Arabidopsis thaliana: one gene and its partners. The protein of the gene in region 2 interacts with the protein of the main gene of each other region in a pairwise test. Each region holds a gene or a part of one and is shown on either strand. Other genes may lie near its edges.

Evidence for each region.
Region 1: the proteins of SUT4 (region 2) and CB5-A interact in a two-hybrid assay, tested with the Arabidopsis thaliana proteins (one study listed by BioGRID).
Region 3: the proteins of SUT4 (region 2) and CB5-C interact in a two-hybrid assay, tested with the Arabidopsis thaliana proteins (one study listed by BioGRID).
Region 4: the proteins of SUT4 (region 2) and CB5-D interact in a two-hybrid assay, tested with the Arabidopsis thaliana proteins (one study listed by BioGRID).

What each region holds. Positions count from the first base shown.
Region 1 is NC_003070.9:9,112,194-9,115,497, reverse strand, and holds CB5-A (cytochrome B5), read right to left. Parts: upstream 1,635-3,304; 5' UTR 1,507-1,634; coding exon 1,420-1,506; intron 1,164-1,419; coding exon 1,097-1,163; intron 997-1,096; coding exon 743-996; 3' UTR 521-742; downstream 1-520. Other genes in the region: AT1G26330 (DNA binding protein), read right to left, coding at 1,978-2,075, 2,167-2,282, 2,456-2,800, 2,984-3,112, 3,232-3,304.
Region 2 is NC_003070.9:3,242,224-3,247,726, reverse strand, and holds SUT4 (sucrose transporter 4), read right to left. Parts: upstream 3,742-5,503; 5' UTR 3,470-3,741; coding exon 2,932-3,469; intron 2,569-2,931; coding exon 1,841-2,568; intron 1,705-1,840; coding exon 1,641-1,704; intron 1,513-1,640; coding exon 1,469-1,512; intron 1,168-1,468; coding exon 1,009-1,167; 3' UTR 986-1,008; intron 900-985; 3' UTR 511-899; downstream 1-510. UniProt on the Arabidopsis thaliana protein: Responsible for the transport of sucrose into the cell, with the concomitant uptake of protons (symport system). Can also transport maltose at a lesser rate. May also transport biotin.
Region 3 is NC_003071.7:19,149,513-19,153,301, forward strand, and holds CB5-C (cytochrome B5), read left to right. Parts: upstream 1-1,968; 5' UTR 1,969-2,294; coding exon 2,295-2,372; intron 2,373-2,476; coding exon 2,477-2,543; intron 2,544-2,628; coding exon 2,629-2,882; 3' UTR 2,883-3,227; downstream 3,228-3,789. Other genes in the region: AT2G46640 (NAD-dependent protein deacetylase HST1-like protein), read left to right, coding at 435-764, 1,008-1,169. UniProt on the Arabidopsis thaliana protein: Membrane bound hemoprotein which function as an electron carrier for several membrane bound oxygenases, including fatty acid desaturases.
Region 4 is NC_003076.8:19,788,546-19,792,077, forward strand, and holds CB5-D (cytochrome B5), read right to left. Parts: upstream 1,828-3,532; 5' UTR 1,636-1,827; coding exon 1,549-1,635; exon of another isoform or gene 1,114-1,548; coding exon 1,047-1,113; intron 973-1,046; coding exon 704-972; 3' UTR 522-703; downstream 1-521. Other genes in the region: AT5G48800 (Phototropic-responsive NPH3 family protein), read left to right, coding at 1-458. UniProt on the Arabidopsis thaliana protein: Membrane bound hemoprotein which function as an electron carrier for several membrane bound oxygenases, including fatty acid desaturases.

The DNA of each region.
Region 1 (3,304 bases), 5.9 Mb from region 2:
GACAAAGCTGACGCAGACCATAATACCACCAGCATTATCATCAACAGAAGCCAGAACCAACAAGATCTAACCTGCAGGATTCCCTTTTTGGTACTGGCTGGTCTTATAGACCGTGGACAATTTCAATTCAGAAGCAATTAGCGATACATCAGGTCCTATAATTGCATGAACTTGAGAGGAGATCTCATGTACCAATACAAAGCAAAGAAATTCTACAAAGAAGTGGCTTTCTCAACTGGAACCTAGAGATAGAGCTACCAACTTTCAGGAATTGGGATTTCCAATCCTAACTAATATATTCTCATCGCTATATGATCATAGATCCACCAGTGTCTCATACTCTCTCAGTTACATATACTAAAAGGACAAGCAAGGAAGATATTTTGGTACATGTTTTTGGTCTTTCTGAATCAAATCGACAGATACTACATAATATCAATGCTATATAGATAACGTCGGCTTTGCGAGGTTATCTGCTACCAAAAGGGACGATATGCAAAGACTTCTTCTAATAAAAAGATTGATACCAGCAAACCAAACCATCCATTAATCATATATAATCATATCGATAATAAGTGTATTGAAACATGATCTCAACTCAAAATCTGATAAAAATGAAAAATAACAATTATCTCTCTATCATATCTGTTATTCAAAAAATCTATAATGGGGGTGTAAAGTTGATTCCCCAAGTAATTCAATATCCCAGAGCATATCAAGGTAAGAAAGAGACTACTACTTATTAAGTCTTGCGAGAGAACAAGACACTAACCGCTACAGAGATGGTGATAATGGAGACAGGAACAACCCAATACTGCTTTGTCAAGTCAAAAAGCTTCTGAACAGAGTCTTGTGGCTGGTCCTTCTTGTAGATCTTAAGCTCAGGTATTTCCGGTAAAGAAGATTCATCTAGCTCGCCAATAAAATACTTCTCCATAAGTTCCCTAGCATCTTTGCTGTGCCCTGCGTCTTCAAAATCATCCGTTGCATCTTTGCCTTCAACAACAACATCATCACATTTACTTGGATTAGAGTAGAGACAACAACAGATCAGTCATTTAGCAAGGATGGGCAAGAGGAAGAAGAAGAAGCTTACCTGCGACAGCAAGAAGCACATCATCTCCTCCAGGATGCTCATCCATATAAGAGGATACATCATAGACCTGTAAAGAGAACGCATCAGCCATATCATTTTCTTGGGGACCAAGATTGTGAAGTCAACACATTATCAACAAAAAAAAAGAGGAAGAAGATTCTGATTAGCTCAATCTAACTACATATAAACAGCAATTACAAGATTCTTCATTAGATTCTATAGGCAACAAGACACAGATATGGTTTCTGAAAGCGAAGGAAACTTCAGGATTCACAAACACATGAACAAGGATTGAAATTAGAAGATTGAGAAAAAGAGTAGACCTTGCCGTCGATGACGACCCAGCAGTCATCTTGCTTGTTGTGAGTTGCGGCTTCTTCCATGGAATAAAGCTTTGTGAGTGTCGGCATCTTCTTCTGAAACTGAGTAGCGAGCGAAATAGCGAATGGTCTTTGATTTTTCTCTTTTTGGGGGTTTTAGGTTTGGTCGACCACGCGAAAAGATGAGCAGACTAGAGGAGAAAGATAATAAGAGCTAGAGCCCTCTCAGCAACGACGTCGTTTAATTTAATTATTTATAATTTCATATTCTTAATTCCTTTTTGGAAAATTAGCAAAAATGGAATAAAAAATTACTGAGAAATCAGAAATGCCTTGTAAGTTGTAGCAACGAATATACATAAAAGATTTATTTATCATCATTTATCATTTACATCTTCGTACAATTTTTTTTAACTAGATTAGAAAATTCTCAACTTGTAAGCCATATGGTAAAAGTTTACAAGCATAAAAACTTAGTTGACTTAAAAATGTAACCAAGCCAATTGAAGTCATTTTGGCAAAACATCTTTTTGTTGTTACCCTCCTTGATTGATTTTGAGTTTACTTTTCCGGATGGCAATAAACTAGGAGCTGACCATCTTCACTTGCTATGCATATATTTCTGGAATCATCAGTACTGATGCATGAAACTCTTTGACCTGACAAAATCCATGTAACAATATTAACTTTTGAGAATTGACTTCGTTATTTTCATGGATATATCTAGTTAAAACTTCAATCAGTGTATACCTTTGAAATCATGGAGAGAGCCGAGTTTAGTGCCAGTGGATAAGTCCCACATATACACAAGTCCATCAAGTGTGCCTGCTACTCCATGGCCAGATATTGTACCGGCAACATCAGCCCTGTAAACCACAAATCCATAGCCAATGAACCATGGATTTAGAAATGTTACCATTCATATACCATTTACTTCTCATATAATCCCCAAAGCAAAACTAATTTCTCGGAACATGGAGAAACCAGAGGAGCCTGAGAAAGACAGTATCCATGTAAAGAAAGAGATGTGTGATAATACCTCGGATCCAACTGACTTCCCAATATGAGTTGGTCTTTCACAAGGAGAGCAAGTCTCCAACATCTAACTGGACTTTCTACACGGTCACATTTAGCATCTGAGTCAAGATCAGTAGAGACTAAAAGCCAAATAGCAGTGTCTTTGACTTCAGCTGGAACCAATGTTTTGTTGTTGACCCCTTTTGAGAACCATAATTTTGTTGCAGCTAAAATCATGTCAACGTTATCCTCGATTGTAGAATGACTATGTACAGGGTGCCATGCAAACAAGCTCGTCGGAATGAACTCAAAGATCAAATTGCTGGGAGATACAAATCTTGATACTAGGCTTCGCTTCGAGATATCCCTAAATCGATAATAAACAAAGTTAGCAGGCCGAAACAATGGAGACAGGAAGAAAAAGATCAAGCAAAGTTGGCTGCTCCTCATCATTCCCTAGCACGGATAGTGTTCTGTAATTTAACAAAGAGATGGGCAGAGAAAAAAACTCTAAAGATAGAGGGAGAGAGAGAAAGAGGGAGCAAAATACCATATTGTAAATTCTCCTATACCATTATGCCCAATAACGAGATGAGGACATTTTGGTATCTTCTTCAGTTCCATGATGCATGATGATATGCAAGGATTTGCGAGTATAACATATTCTTCGGTAGGACCACTGCAAATTAAGGATACAAGAACATTAGCAAAAATTCCAATGATGATCCAATAGCTCCAAATAGAAGAAGGATCTGACAACTATTTTAAGAGAAGAGTAATGAACTCTGATGAGAGTACCTCCAATGCGAGTTCATGGCCCAGACAATAAGGTTTCCACTCTTAACAGCTGCAATGAGATTGTTAGGATCGC
Region 2 (5,503 bases):
ATTGCTCAAGCTGTATTAGCATCTACTTATTTCTCTCAATTATTGATACGCTGCCTACAGAATCTCAATAGCATTACAGTAATTTCAATCTCAAACATCTCACTCAAGAAGAAAACTGGGATTTGCTACTATTCCTTCCTACTAGGCTTAGAGCACTTCCAATGGTTTATCTTAGGTGTATCTTAGAATAATATTTTAGAATTAAACTTTGAAAATTAAATCAAAATAAATTAAAAACTAAGATTTGCTTCTTAGCTAAGAAGTTTTCATGAGTGAAAAAAACAGTTACATGTCATGTTTCAAAATTTTAGTATAAATAATTGTTAAGATGTTTGGTTAAGAACCAATTACTTCTTAACCATTGGAGATGGTCTTAATATTCCCAAGAGTCATCCTAATCTATTGCTGACTATTGGTGGTTACTGCTACTATAGAGACTACTAGTACTCGTAATGGTTCCTTTCTACTTTTGCTACACAGATCATGTAAATTTTTTGGATCTCAGGTTTTCTTTATCAAACTAATTCTAAAGAAAATGAACTTTATAAACAGTTACAGAACTCAGGGGCCCTTACAAACACTCTGTTGTACACAGGTTTTTACATTAATTTACAACAACAACAAAAAAAACAGAGAAGATCCCGAACTGGAACTTCCAATAAAGGAGAGATGCATATACCTCACAAACTGAATGATGTATTATTTTCATTGGTTCTATGGTGCCTCGTGTATACAAGGATCATAGTCCCCAAAGTAGAGGGGATTAAGTCCTAGTAGCTGCAAATAAGTTAGTCACACGAGAAGCCATTGCACGAATTTTCGACAAGGATCACATTAAGTGTTCCATCTCCTTGCCATTTCCAAGCACTCCCCTTATGCGTTCCTCGCTTGACACTCATCTATTTCGCATTAGCCGCTTTTAATAATCAGTGACAACTTAAGTGCTTACTATGTACTTTTTGTGAAAGAATTGTGACATTATTACCTTATATAACAAAAGAGAGAATCTCATGGGAGAGGGATGGGCTTCTGAATCCTTGTCCGTGGAAGAGCCAAGATAGCTACAATTCCGCCAATGAAGCCTGTAGCTGCTCCTACTGCAAGTGCCGGTGAATTCCCACCTCCAAACAGTTGATCCCATGGGCCACTGCCAACAGACACAATTACCTGCAAACACATAAATGATTGAACAACAGAATTTGAGTTTGATGCCAAAAACCATAACCAACATAGGGAAGAAATTCATCAATCAACTAATATAGAGAAATAAAAAGTGTACTTTCATCACTGGCCAATGACCATAACTAAAAAAACGAATCGTTTATTAATGACAATTGACAAATAATGCAGTAACTCTGCTGCATGTTATGCTTATAGACTTCCTTTTACAGGCAGAAACATTCAAAGAAGAATATGATTTTGAGTTGCGGCAAATATAATGCTAAAAGGATGGTTGAAAGAAGTGTACCTGTGGGATGACTATCGCCAAATTTAGCACACCCAAAGATAAGCCTGCCACAACAGAACTTTTATAAGAAACAACACTCATATGTAGAGTAAAATCATTGAGCAGAACTTTTCTAAGAAACAACACAACAGAACTTTTATAAGAAACAACACCCAAAGATAAGCCTGCACACCTTGACCTAAGCCCAGGGATTCAATACGTATGGAAATCAACGCATATGGGACGCTGTAAGTTATCTGCAGAAGAGTAGCAATAGCATTAGTTACAGCGAAAGCGTAAATAAATTTCATCATGTTGTTACAGATGAGCAGGCAAAATATCATAAGTAATAGTGTAAGTAACATGACAGCAGAATTACAGGAGTAAACTTACCGCCAATGGAATGCCCAGAATTGTAAAGATTAACACAGCAGCAAACACGATGCTGGCAGGAGGTTGTTCATGGCCAATGTAGCCAAGGTGAGACGCAACAAATGAGGTGATTATCATTCCAAGAAAGCAAATAGCCATTAAGATATTTGATATTCCCCAAACAAAACCAGCCCCCCACTTTCTGCAAAGTTTCTCCATGAGCACAGAAGTGATTCCAAGAAAAACAGAATTCAACATCAAACCAAGTGCACCCATACTGACCCCAGCACTATATGAAGTCCCTATGTTCGGTTCACCGCCATAGATCTCTCGACCCATCCAATCAGTATCAAACAGAATAAATGGAAACCAACCAATCCATGTCAATGCTGTAACAAGCAAGATTATCCAAACATTTCCTGGAAAATATCTGAAAGTTCCAAATATCTCAGAAAGAAAAGCTTCGTCTGTTCCACTGGTTTGCCCATGTGCTTCAGAAGCCAATGAAGCAAGTGGCACCTCATGAGCCGCTGAGACGCTTAGGATCGTAGTTATTGCAATAAAGACAACATCTATGTAGAAGGCAGACTTGAGATTGGCACATTCCACATTACATGCAACTGTCTTCGTAAAAGTGAAGATCTTGTACCAACCATTGTATGATCCAGTAGCATAGCCAAGAACATTGCCAACAGCCATAAAGAGAGAGAAGTAGCCATTTGCAACTCGGGTTCTGCGATTATCATTCTCTGAAAATAAAGCAATAGGACAAGAATTAAAACACAACATATCTTTGTTTTCACTCCATGAGGTTATCACACAATCGTAGGCTACGATTAACTTCACCAAAATCCACAATTTGATTCAAGGGAAAGAGAAAAAACAAAGTCTCTGTGACTCAACGATAAGCCACCGACCAGAAACAAAGAAGGGACCTTTTGATTGTTAGGAACCAATTAGGTAATTATATAACCCCAAATTGTATCCAAAATCACAAATTTATGCATTTTCATGTTTTGCATGTGAGTGTATAATCACGAGAATCCCAAATTTACTACATTTGAATGATTTCAAATTGAAGACCCAATCAACACTAAAGTCAGGAACTTTACCAGTAAGATCAGCAAGGAGAGCTCTACAAGGACCTTGAGTCATATTATTAGCAACATCAAGAATCCAAAACCCTAAAACAAAAGCAACAATCGCCCTCGGCTTAATCTTCCCTTCTCTATCCCCAAATGCCCATCCAATATCCGCCGCATGACCAATAACCATAACAGAGATAGAAATCGCCACAGCTCCGGCGACAATAAACGGTCTCCGACGACCGTACTTACTAGTACACCTATCGCTACTATGCCCAACGAGCGGTTGCACGAACAAACCAGAGAGAGGACCGCAAAGCCAAATCACACTAGCCCAAGCGTGTGGGATCCCCAGCTCTTGAACGTAAGGTGTGAGGAGAGAAAGCTGAAGAGCCCATCCGAATTGAATCCCGCATGCGACGGAAGCTACACGGAGAAGCACACGCTTCGAAACTTTTGATCTAGGAGGAGATACAACGGGACGAGATGAAGAAGTAGAGGGTCGAGCTATTGGTGGACGGTTGCGAGTGACTCTGTGACGGCGATCTTGATCGGAAGTAGCCATTTCTCGCTTCACAGTCGTCGTGGCGTAGAGAGAGTGAAAAAGCTTAAAGTGGAGAGAAAAAGGTGGCGAAGAAGAAGATGTTGTAAGAATTCCATTGGACTAAAGGAATCTACTTTAGGAAAGTTGAGTGCTTTTTGTAAATTGTTTTAAATTTGTTGGGGAAATTGTGTAAATAATGAAAAGTGGGCACGTTAAAAGAGGGTATATAGTGTAAGGTTTGTTGTTTCTCTATGGATAAAATACATATTTTTGTTGAAACGAAATGATTTTGAGGGAGCATTCGTCATTTTCTGTTGGATCACGGGGCAAAAAGTAAGTTCCACTTACGTAAGCTGGAAGAAGAGACGTTGAGTATTCAATAACACTATCAATATGCAGTTTTGTGTTTGGAACAGAAAAAAATGTCATCTTTATTCAAAGAAAGAAGAGGGGGAAAAAAAAAAAAAAAAAAGAGAGAGAGAAAGAGTGTGCTTACGCAATTTTCAAATACATGTTCATCTACATAGACAATTTTCAAATATTCTCTTAATATGTAATTTGGTTGAGTCCGTTGTTTTAACTAATAAATTACTTAATATGGAAATTAGGTCGAAAGGATTGAGCGATCAAAATTGTTGAAATACGAAAATGACGTTATTGTTTGTTAATCAAGCTTGGGCCAATGTGAGCCGTACACGTGCTGCATGATTCAGGTTATACGGTTTAAACGTATAACACGATGGCGCCAATTTACCAAAACGTACTCTAAAATGGCATCTTTTTTATCTTTACTTATAGTCTTTTAGGCCTAATCATGTTTTAATTAGGGTAGGTGAACTGATTTTTATCTTTGTTTTTGCTCAATAGTTTAGTATGCACTTGATTGGGTTGGAATTCAGTTTTGTACCAACATTTCGTTCCCCTTTTTATGTAGTTGCTCACTCGAATCATGTTTAGGTTTATTATGGCGATATGAAATTGTAAGGTTTTGAATAATTGGACTATTTTTTGCGTTCAATTACTCACCGGGTCAAAATAAAGAAAAACGGATGATTCCACCATCATCTAAGGCAAAATGATTTTATTGCAAAAATAAGAAATTGAGAAATTCTCATTGCAAAAATGGCTTATAGAGAAACAAGAAAGGATGATGGCATGCAACTGAAGGCCCTATCCATTGAAGGAAACTCTTGTGGGCTGAACCAATAAGCTAAATAACCCAAATGAGGAAGAACAAAAACCTAAACATGAAGGCCCGTTTCTCCTTTTAATGATTTTATTCGTATAACCGCCTTAAAAAAAAGATTCAAATGAAAACAAAAATGTTTGATTAAAACTTAAAAGGCCGCAAAAGAAACACGGTTTGTGACGAAAACGTGGCCGCGTAAGCAACGAGTTGAAAAGTATCCGCGTCCGTGCGTTGCATAGCCAACTAATGCCCACCAGCTCCAAACATTTTCCAACTCTCTCTTTTTTTTTTTTTTTTTAGTTTTGCAAAACGTGTTTTCTCAGTTATTTGTCGTCACTTCTTTTCATCTAATTTTTTTGTCAAAAAAATTTGTTGCCTCTTTTATCTTTAAAGCTTGTATTGTTTTTTAATACGTACTTTATTTCTCATACGGTAGTTCTGAGAAAATGGTAAAACTGCCAAGCATTTGCAATTTTTGACGAGGAGGAATTTTAAGTAATAGAGAGAAAAATTCTATTCGTTAAATTCTTACAAGAAAAAAAAATCTTATAAGAAATTATATAATTATCTCATCAGGTTTTTAAATGAATTTGAACTCTCAATAAGGTTTACTCTAACGACTGATTTAAATGAACTTATAGTATCAACGTGCATATTCCAATTTTTTTTTTTTTGACATCTTTTCTTTTTTTGTCCGTTATTAGAGTGATGAAAGAATCTGTTGATTGAAATATGGTTGCTCGATCCCCAAGGTTGAAGTTAGAGAAAGATCTTTTCGAAGGAAGTATGAGACAACTACATGGAAAAGAAAAATCTTAAAATAATGTAGAAATTTTCTTAGTAAAGAAGAAAAGATGGCTCGCGGC
Region 3 (3,789 bases), on a different chromosome or scaffold from region 2:
CGTATTCTAATCAGTTCTATTGAGTACATTTTTATGATCCTCGGGTTGATTTACCAATAGAGAAGATTATATAGACATATGACATGCATATGCTTCAATTGTTCGTGTGCGTTTACGTTGATTTGATTAGTATATTCAAATGAATCCAAAATTTTAAAATCTTTAAACTAGTTTAATTGTTATTGTAGAAATAAGTTAACTAAAATGGAAGGATTATACGTTCACTAATCTACAAAAATTTGGGTTTTCTTTCAAAATATGACTTTAAAGACATATAAATGCAGAAATTGCATTTGAGTCAATCGAGATCGTCATTTTTTTTTCTGTCGACAATTAAGGCCATTATACGCAAAGAAATAAGTACATAAAATAAGTACATAAAATTATATCTTCTTGACTCTTGATATTGAATTTCTTGAGATCTTTCGTATTAGAATCTGTACGTACAGGCCGATACTGATCACTTTGGCTCGATCAAAACCGCTGAAACGCCAGCTGTCACGGCGGCAGCCGAGGCCGAGATAGAGCCACAGAAGAAGAGGACAACACTTGCGGAGCTTTTCATGGAGGACCACGACAAAGGTTATGACACGTGGCATTGCAAGAAACCCAATAACCCTAATCTTGACGGTGAGGAGGTTAAGTACTATAAACAAAACGGTTCAAAACTAAGCAAGAGGTTCTCGTTTGTTAAGAAGAAGCTGGTCATGTCAAAGTCCAAAGAGGAAGAAAACGACTTACGTCCAATCAAGAAAATGCGTCAGGTATTTAAATTTGTTTTAGTCAATTCCGTAACTATGAAACATTGATGATGATGGATATATGAACATGTTACATGTGCCTCTATAGCTCAAGGGAAACAATGTCACGTCAAGATCTAGATAATTATTCGTGCATGTTACAATTACATCACTTTTGTTGCTTCATAAGTGTACTCATATGTGAGTAAATATTCATTCGATGTCAACAAGTATAGCATCATTATATATGTGTATATATTACTGTAGATGATAAAGAGGATGTTGAAGAAGAAGATCCATCCAGATGTCGATGCAACTAAGGCTTTAAAGAAGGACGTTCCATACAAGCCAACTCGGAACTGTGAAGCTCTCGAGTCACATTATCTTCTTAAAATTCAAGGTTTGTATTTCTTAATTATTTTGGTTTAGGGGTTCGATATGATTTATTTCTTTCATTTGCTCGTATATATATGCTTTGTGGACAGATTGCGTGGCCTAGAAGTCTAAGAACGACGACATCGTACAAGAGCAATCTCTGGATCTATTGTTCTACTCCCTATAATATATGTGATTTTTTTGTTCTTATTTCAGAATGTGTTGGTATTGTTATGACTGTTGAGATGTATTGCTTTCTTCTTACAAACATTACTAAGTTGTTAGTATTTGTTCCTGTTATGCATATTGTATTTTATTACTATGTCATATGTTTTCTTATTTATACGTATATCAATGCATCGTTCTAAAATCGTGGATTGTCGTGAATCTGTGATAGTATTCCATCATGTCTGCTATAGCTTGGTCAGTTTTGAAGAAATTTCAAACCTAAAGTCATAAACTGATAAAGGACTAAATTATCCTACTCAAAACAGAAAGCCCTTTTGTGCGTTATTGGGCCTAATCAGAAAAGTGATTTTGAAAAAGGGCCTAATCAGAAAAGTGATTTTGAGGCTTTTTAAAAGTTTAAAGTAAACAAAAGAAAATTGAGGCTTGACTTTTCTTTCTTTTTTTGACTTGTTTTCTTTTTTCCTTTTTCTTATAAGAGAAAACTAAAACGTGAAAGAGCTTCACCAACCTGAGGTCGCTGACCACTTGGAGGCATTCTCAGCTACCAATCCATTAACTTACAAACTCCATATTCTTCACGTTTTACTATGGTAGGTACCTTTTTTTAACCTTGTTCGTAATAACAATTTTATACGAAAAGAATAGTATTAAACTTCAACAAAAACAACTATGTATATTAACTGGTCAGATATACATTGCTTTGTTCCCTTACATCTTCAAAGAGCTAAGATTAAACTATTTACCCCAAATAAGACTGTAATTTCATCAAAATCTAGTAATAATAATATTCAACAGCTTACAATATAAACATAACGCGTGTGGTCTCCATAAGCTACGCACTGTCTTTTCATCGGTTCGTAGAAACTAGAAACTCTTCCCCTCACGATCTTGCTTTCTTTATTTTGCTTCAACCCTAGTTTATTTGAAGTCTCTATATAAAGTTCTCTGTTTCAAGTTACTTTCTCAGCACGAGCAACCAAAAGTAATCATATGGCGAATCTAATTTCGTTTCACGATGTGGCTAAACATAAGTGCAAGAACGATTGTTGGATTCTCATCCATGGAAAGGTCCATATTTCTACTTTCTTTAAATCACGTAAACAAATTTATAGATTATAAATGCTCTGTTTTTTTAGCTTTATACTTGTTTCTAAACACATGTTTATCCACAGGTCTATGACATCAGCACTTTCATGGACGAACATCCCGGAGGTGACAATGTTCTCCTCGCCGTCACCGGTACGTACGAGTACGAGTTGGTTTATTCCGGTTTAGTTTGAATTTATCGGTTTGTAATTTTGTGAGTTTTTATGAAAATTTAAAGGGAAAGACGCGTCGATCGATTTCGAAGATGTGAACCATAGCAAAGATGCCAAGGAGCTAATGAAGAAATACTGTATCGGTGACGTTGACCAGTCAACGGTTCCGGTGACGCAACAGTATATTCCGCCGTGGGAGAAGGAATCTACGGCGGCGGAAACAACTAAAGAAGAATCTGGAAAGAAGCTGCTTATCTACTTAATTCCTCTCTTGATACTCGGCGTTGCTTTCGCTCTCAGATTCTACAACAACAAGTAGACCAAATTATGATGAACAGATTGATAAGAGTTTCTTACTGTTCTTGGTTTTCGTTTGTTGGTAATAACGGGCTTCTTATGTGAAGATTTGGGCCATTTGGCCCATCGCTCAGAATTGGACTATAATGTCTTATTTATTTTATGTTAATGGGCCGTATCAGTAGGCCCTTTGTTGATATATGCCAATCCCAATTTCTTCTAGCATGAGCTTTGTGTTATTTACTTGATTTTGATAAAACAACCAACTTATGCAGTAGATTCCATTTGACGAAAAAAAATAAAAATAAAAATGCAGTAGATTCCATTAAATTCGTACTTAATAATAAAAATGGGTGAGGGCATACTTACAAAGAAGGAATGTGTGTCAGTGTGTGTCAAAAATATGACACAGACACAGAATTATTTTTAGCAAAAACGTTCCACATAATTTCAACCTTTATACTGTCGGTTATTTTTTGCCACTTTAAAGACACAGAATTCAATGTGTCATAAAAAAGGACACAAAGAAATGAAGAATGTTGGTTTTTAATTTACTAATTCGAGAGGGGATTTATTAATCAAATTTCGAAATGTAATGTTAGTATTTCTATATTATATTACTAGAAGACGATTAAAAATATGAGAATATTTTTCTTAAGTAAAGTTTTTTTTTCTTTTTTAAACCGTGTAATGTTAATTGTTTGGTAAAACAAACCAAACATTCGTGTTTCTATGCAACTTATTAAACAAGTGATTGTTATTATATATAATAAAAAAAAACGTTTCCGGAGTGATAGTAGACTTGCAAAGATCGTTCACCAGAATCTTGGAAACTAAATTTTATAGTTTAATATCCTGTTGCGTTTTTTTTTTTTTTTTTAATTTATCCTGTTGCAGTCTTGATCTGTGATAGAATTCATAATTTATTT
Region 4 (3,532 bases), on a different chromosome or scaffold from region 2:
CTGCACAAAACGAGCGGCTTCCTCTGCAATCCATAGTTCAAGTTCTCTACTTTGAGCAACTCAAGCTTCGAAGCTCCTTGTGCTCTTCTTACTCAGACGAAGAGCCAAAGCCAAAGCAGCAACAACAGCAGTCATGGAGAATCAATAGCGGAGCTCTCAGTGCAACAATGTCCCCCAAAGACAACTATGCGTCTCTGAGGAGAGAAAACCGAGAACTGAAGCTCGAGTTAGCTAGGTTGAGAATGAGACTCAACGACCTAGAGAAAGAACATATATGTATGAAGAGAGATATGCAGAGGTCTCATTCGCGCAAATTCATGAGCAGTTTCTCAAAGAAAATGGGGAAACTTAGCTTCTTTGGGCATAGCTCTTCAAGAGGATCAAGCTCTCCATCAAAGCAGTCTTTCAGAACAGATTCAAAGGTACTGATGGAGAGAACTTGCGCAAGCACAGATTAGCTCAGTGTTTATCATTTTCTCTTACCTGTTGCTGCTTTTTAAGTGAGACTTGAGACTGGTGTGTGAGTGATATTGTAAATGGATTTGATTGATATAAGACAACAAAGGTAGATGGCTTAAAAATCAAAGGTCTATCAGTTGATTGGAATAGAGAATATAATGATGTCTTACAAGACAAACAGAGGTAGAGACAGAGTTTAACCACGTCGTACACAAGCAATTCACTTAGGCCACAATTCAATCTTTCAAGAAGAAGGAGCCTTGGTCTTAGTGTAGTACCGAATGCCGAAAGCCAAGCCTAAGATTAGAAGTGGAACAAGGAACTGAAGGAGCTTAATAACAAAATCCGAGCTCTTATCCTGAGTAGCCACGGCTTTCGTCGACGTAGGAGGCACAAACTTAGCTTTAACCGGCACAGTAGCTGTGTCAATATCACCCACATAGTACTCATCTAGCATGGCTTTCGCAGTCGAACTATGTCCCACATCCTCGAAATCATCGGTCGCATCTTTCCCTGAATACCAACAACACATTCTTGTTAACATAAACATGAACTAACAAACAGAGAAAGTGATCTCTATATGTTACCTGTAGAAGTCAAGATAACCTCATCACCACCAGGATGATCATCCAAGAACTTTGTCACATCATAAACCTATATATAACCATCAAAATGAAACACACAAAAAATGTAAACTTTGTCATATAAGTCCCTAATTCCACACAATCAGAGACCTAGATTAAGTGGGTTATCAAAAGTTCATACATCAGAACATACATGAACTACATGAACCTTACTAGCTTTAACTACAGATACAAGATCACACAGAGACATCTTAAGCAGCACCAACTATCACATTCAATTATAAAGACGTAAGTTTTTAGCAATTTCTCTGTGATTTAGACTTAGAAAAGTAACATTAATCTAGCAAATCAGATCAGATCTATCCCCAAACTTGTTACTACATAACTCTAGATTTATAAATCCAAGTCAACACAACTCAAGAATTTCGGATCTCACGAAGATAAGATGCAAAATCTAAGGGAAAACGGAAAATCGAATGAGAAACTGGGATCGGAGATGTAGGACCTTGCCGTCGATGACGATCCAACAATCCTTGGCGCTACTGTGCTGAGAAACCTCGGACAAGGTGAAAACTTTTCCGTCTCCGCCCATCTCCGATGATCTGCTGGTGACTGGTGAGAGTTGAGAAGAGGAAGAGTATTACTATTATTTGGGAATCTGTGAGTTTGGGATCTTACACCAACCGCTTTTTTGGTCTACTTAAGTTGTGTATGTCTGATCTCATCTATTGATGGGGTCGGAAATTAATCAGTGGCCAATAATCAGCAGTTAATCAAAGATTCCGTTTTCTTATATTATTTAAATGAATTTATTTTATATATTTAATTAATGTAGAAACTAAAACAATTTATAATGTTACAAAGAAAAAATGTTATAAAAAATCTTAGTATTGTATGTTTTTCCTTAAAATAAAATAAATGTTTTTAGTAATTCATGTTAGCTGATAATGTTTCTACTAAAATCATGTTAGCTTATTGATTTCCATGATGCTTATAATGTTTATACTAAAATCATGTTAGCTTTATGTACATCAATTTAGATAAAATCCAAACGTTTGGTGGTTTCGCCCTCTTAGACGTATGATCAATCGTGTAGACGGCTAGATGTTAGGGTAGACCATTCTAATTGGGCCCAACCATTCACTCGGTCCACAAGATCCGGATCTTTTCTTCAGTTGTCGATAGTATTTAGTTTTTTCATGAACTATAGCAATATGGACACGATGATTCATGGGAGGAAAGATATGGGGTTGTCTTCTTTAAAACTTGATGGCGCTTAAGATAAAAACAGTCAAAGAGACTTGTCGGAAGGCCAGTGTAACGAAAGCAGTGTGGTTTTAGTTATAGGCTAAATTGAATATGAATAATTGATCATAGGCCCAGTTTGTTGGTTTATGATTTTAGAAAGAATTGATAAGAGAAGGAGAATGTTTTGAGGTTGGAACTCTCCGACAGATAAATATGATGGGAAGAATTATTCACGGTCGTATATTTTGACAAGGGACCAACGGAAAGGAGAGCAGTTGCATGCATCACTCGTCTTTACACTATTTAGAAAGAAAATGAATCTTGTTTAGTGATTCATTTTAAAAAGTTTTTCTATGTGAACCTCATTCGCTAGAAGTAGTTTAAATGTATTTGCCTTAATCCGATCTTAGAACTGGATATTTGATATTTCTGTAATCAGTTCGAATGTATCTAACTATAGGGCTAAAACACCGACTGTATAGTTCTTTCGACATATATAGAGTGTGTACTTTGCTTAATGGAACCATAGGCATGTTAAACGAGAGCATTTAATGTTGAAATTCACTTCTTTTTTCAATGCATGTTTTGACTCACATTGCAAGGCCTATGGTTGGTGTTCAACGAGAGAAAGAAACTATACATGACAAGTTAAAGACATTTATTTTGAAGGACTAACCCAAAAGGAGAACGAAAGAGAGCTAGAGAAGAAGAAACAAAAAGACAAAAAGGCTTTCGTAATCAGTGCTCTTCCTTTTTGGCTTTTTACTACCAAATAGTTTAAAAGAGTCAAACAAAACATCGAACAAGCTGAATTCAGATACCCCATTGGTCACACAGTTGATGTAAGCGAATCTATATGTCCCAAAAAACATGATTTTTATAGTCAGTGAGCCCGTGATCAAACAAGCACCCGTGTACATACGTACACCATGTCCATATGTATAAATGTATAATATAATGAATGTATCTGAACGTTTCATGCATTCACTTTTTCACTTTTAGAGATTAAAGAAAAACATAGAACAATGATTGGGTTCGAGATAAGATTTCACAGTTTCATCACACTGGTTTTGCCAATTTCCAAGAAATGTAAAAAAAAAGATAAAACAACAGAGATCTTCTCAATGAACACTGTCTCATCTTTTTGTCAGTTTCTTGTTAATAATAATTTGATATTCAAGATTCAAAACACTCTTATCTCTTTACTAATTAGTACAAAATTCACCTTTGTGTTTGTACTT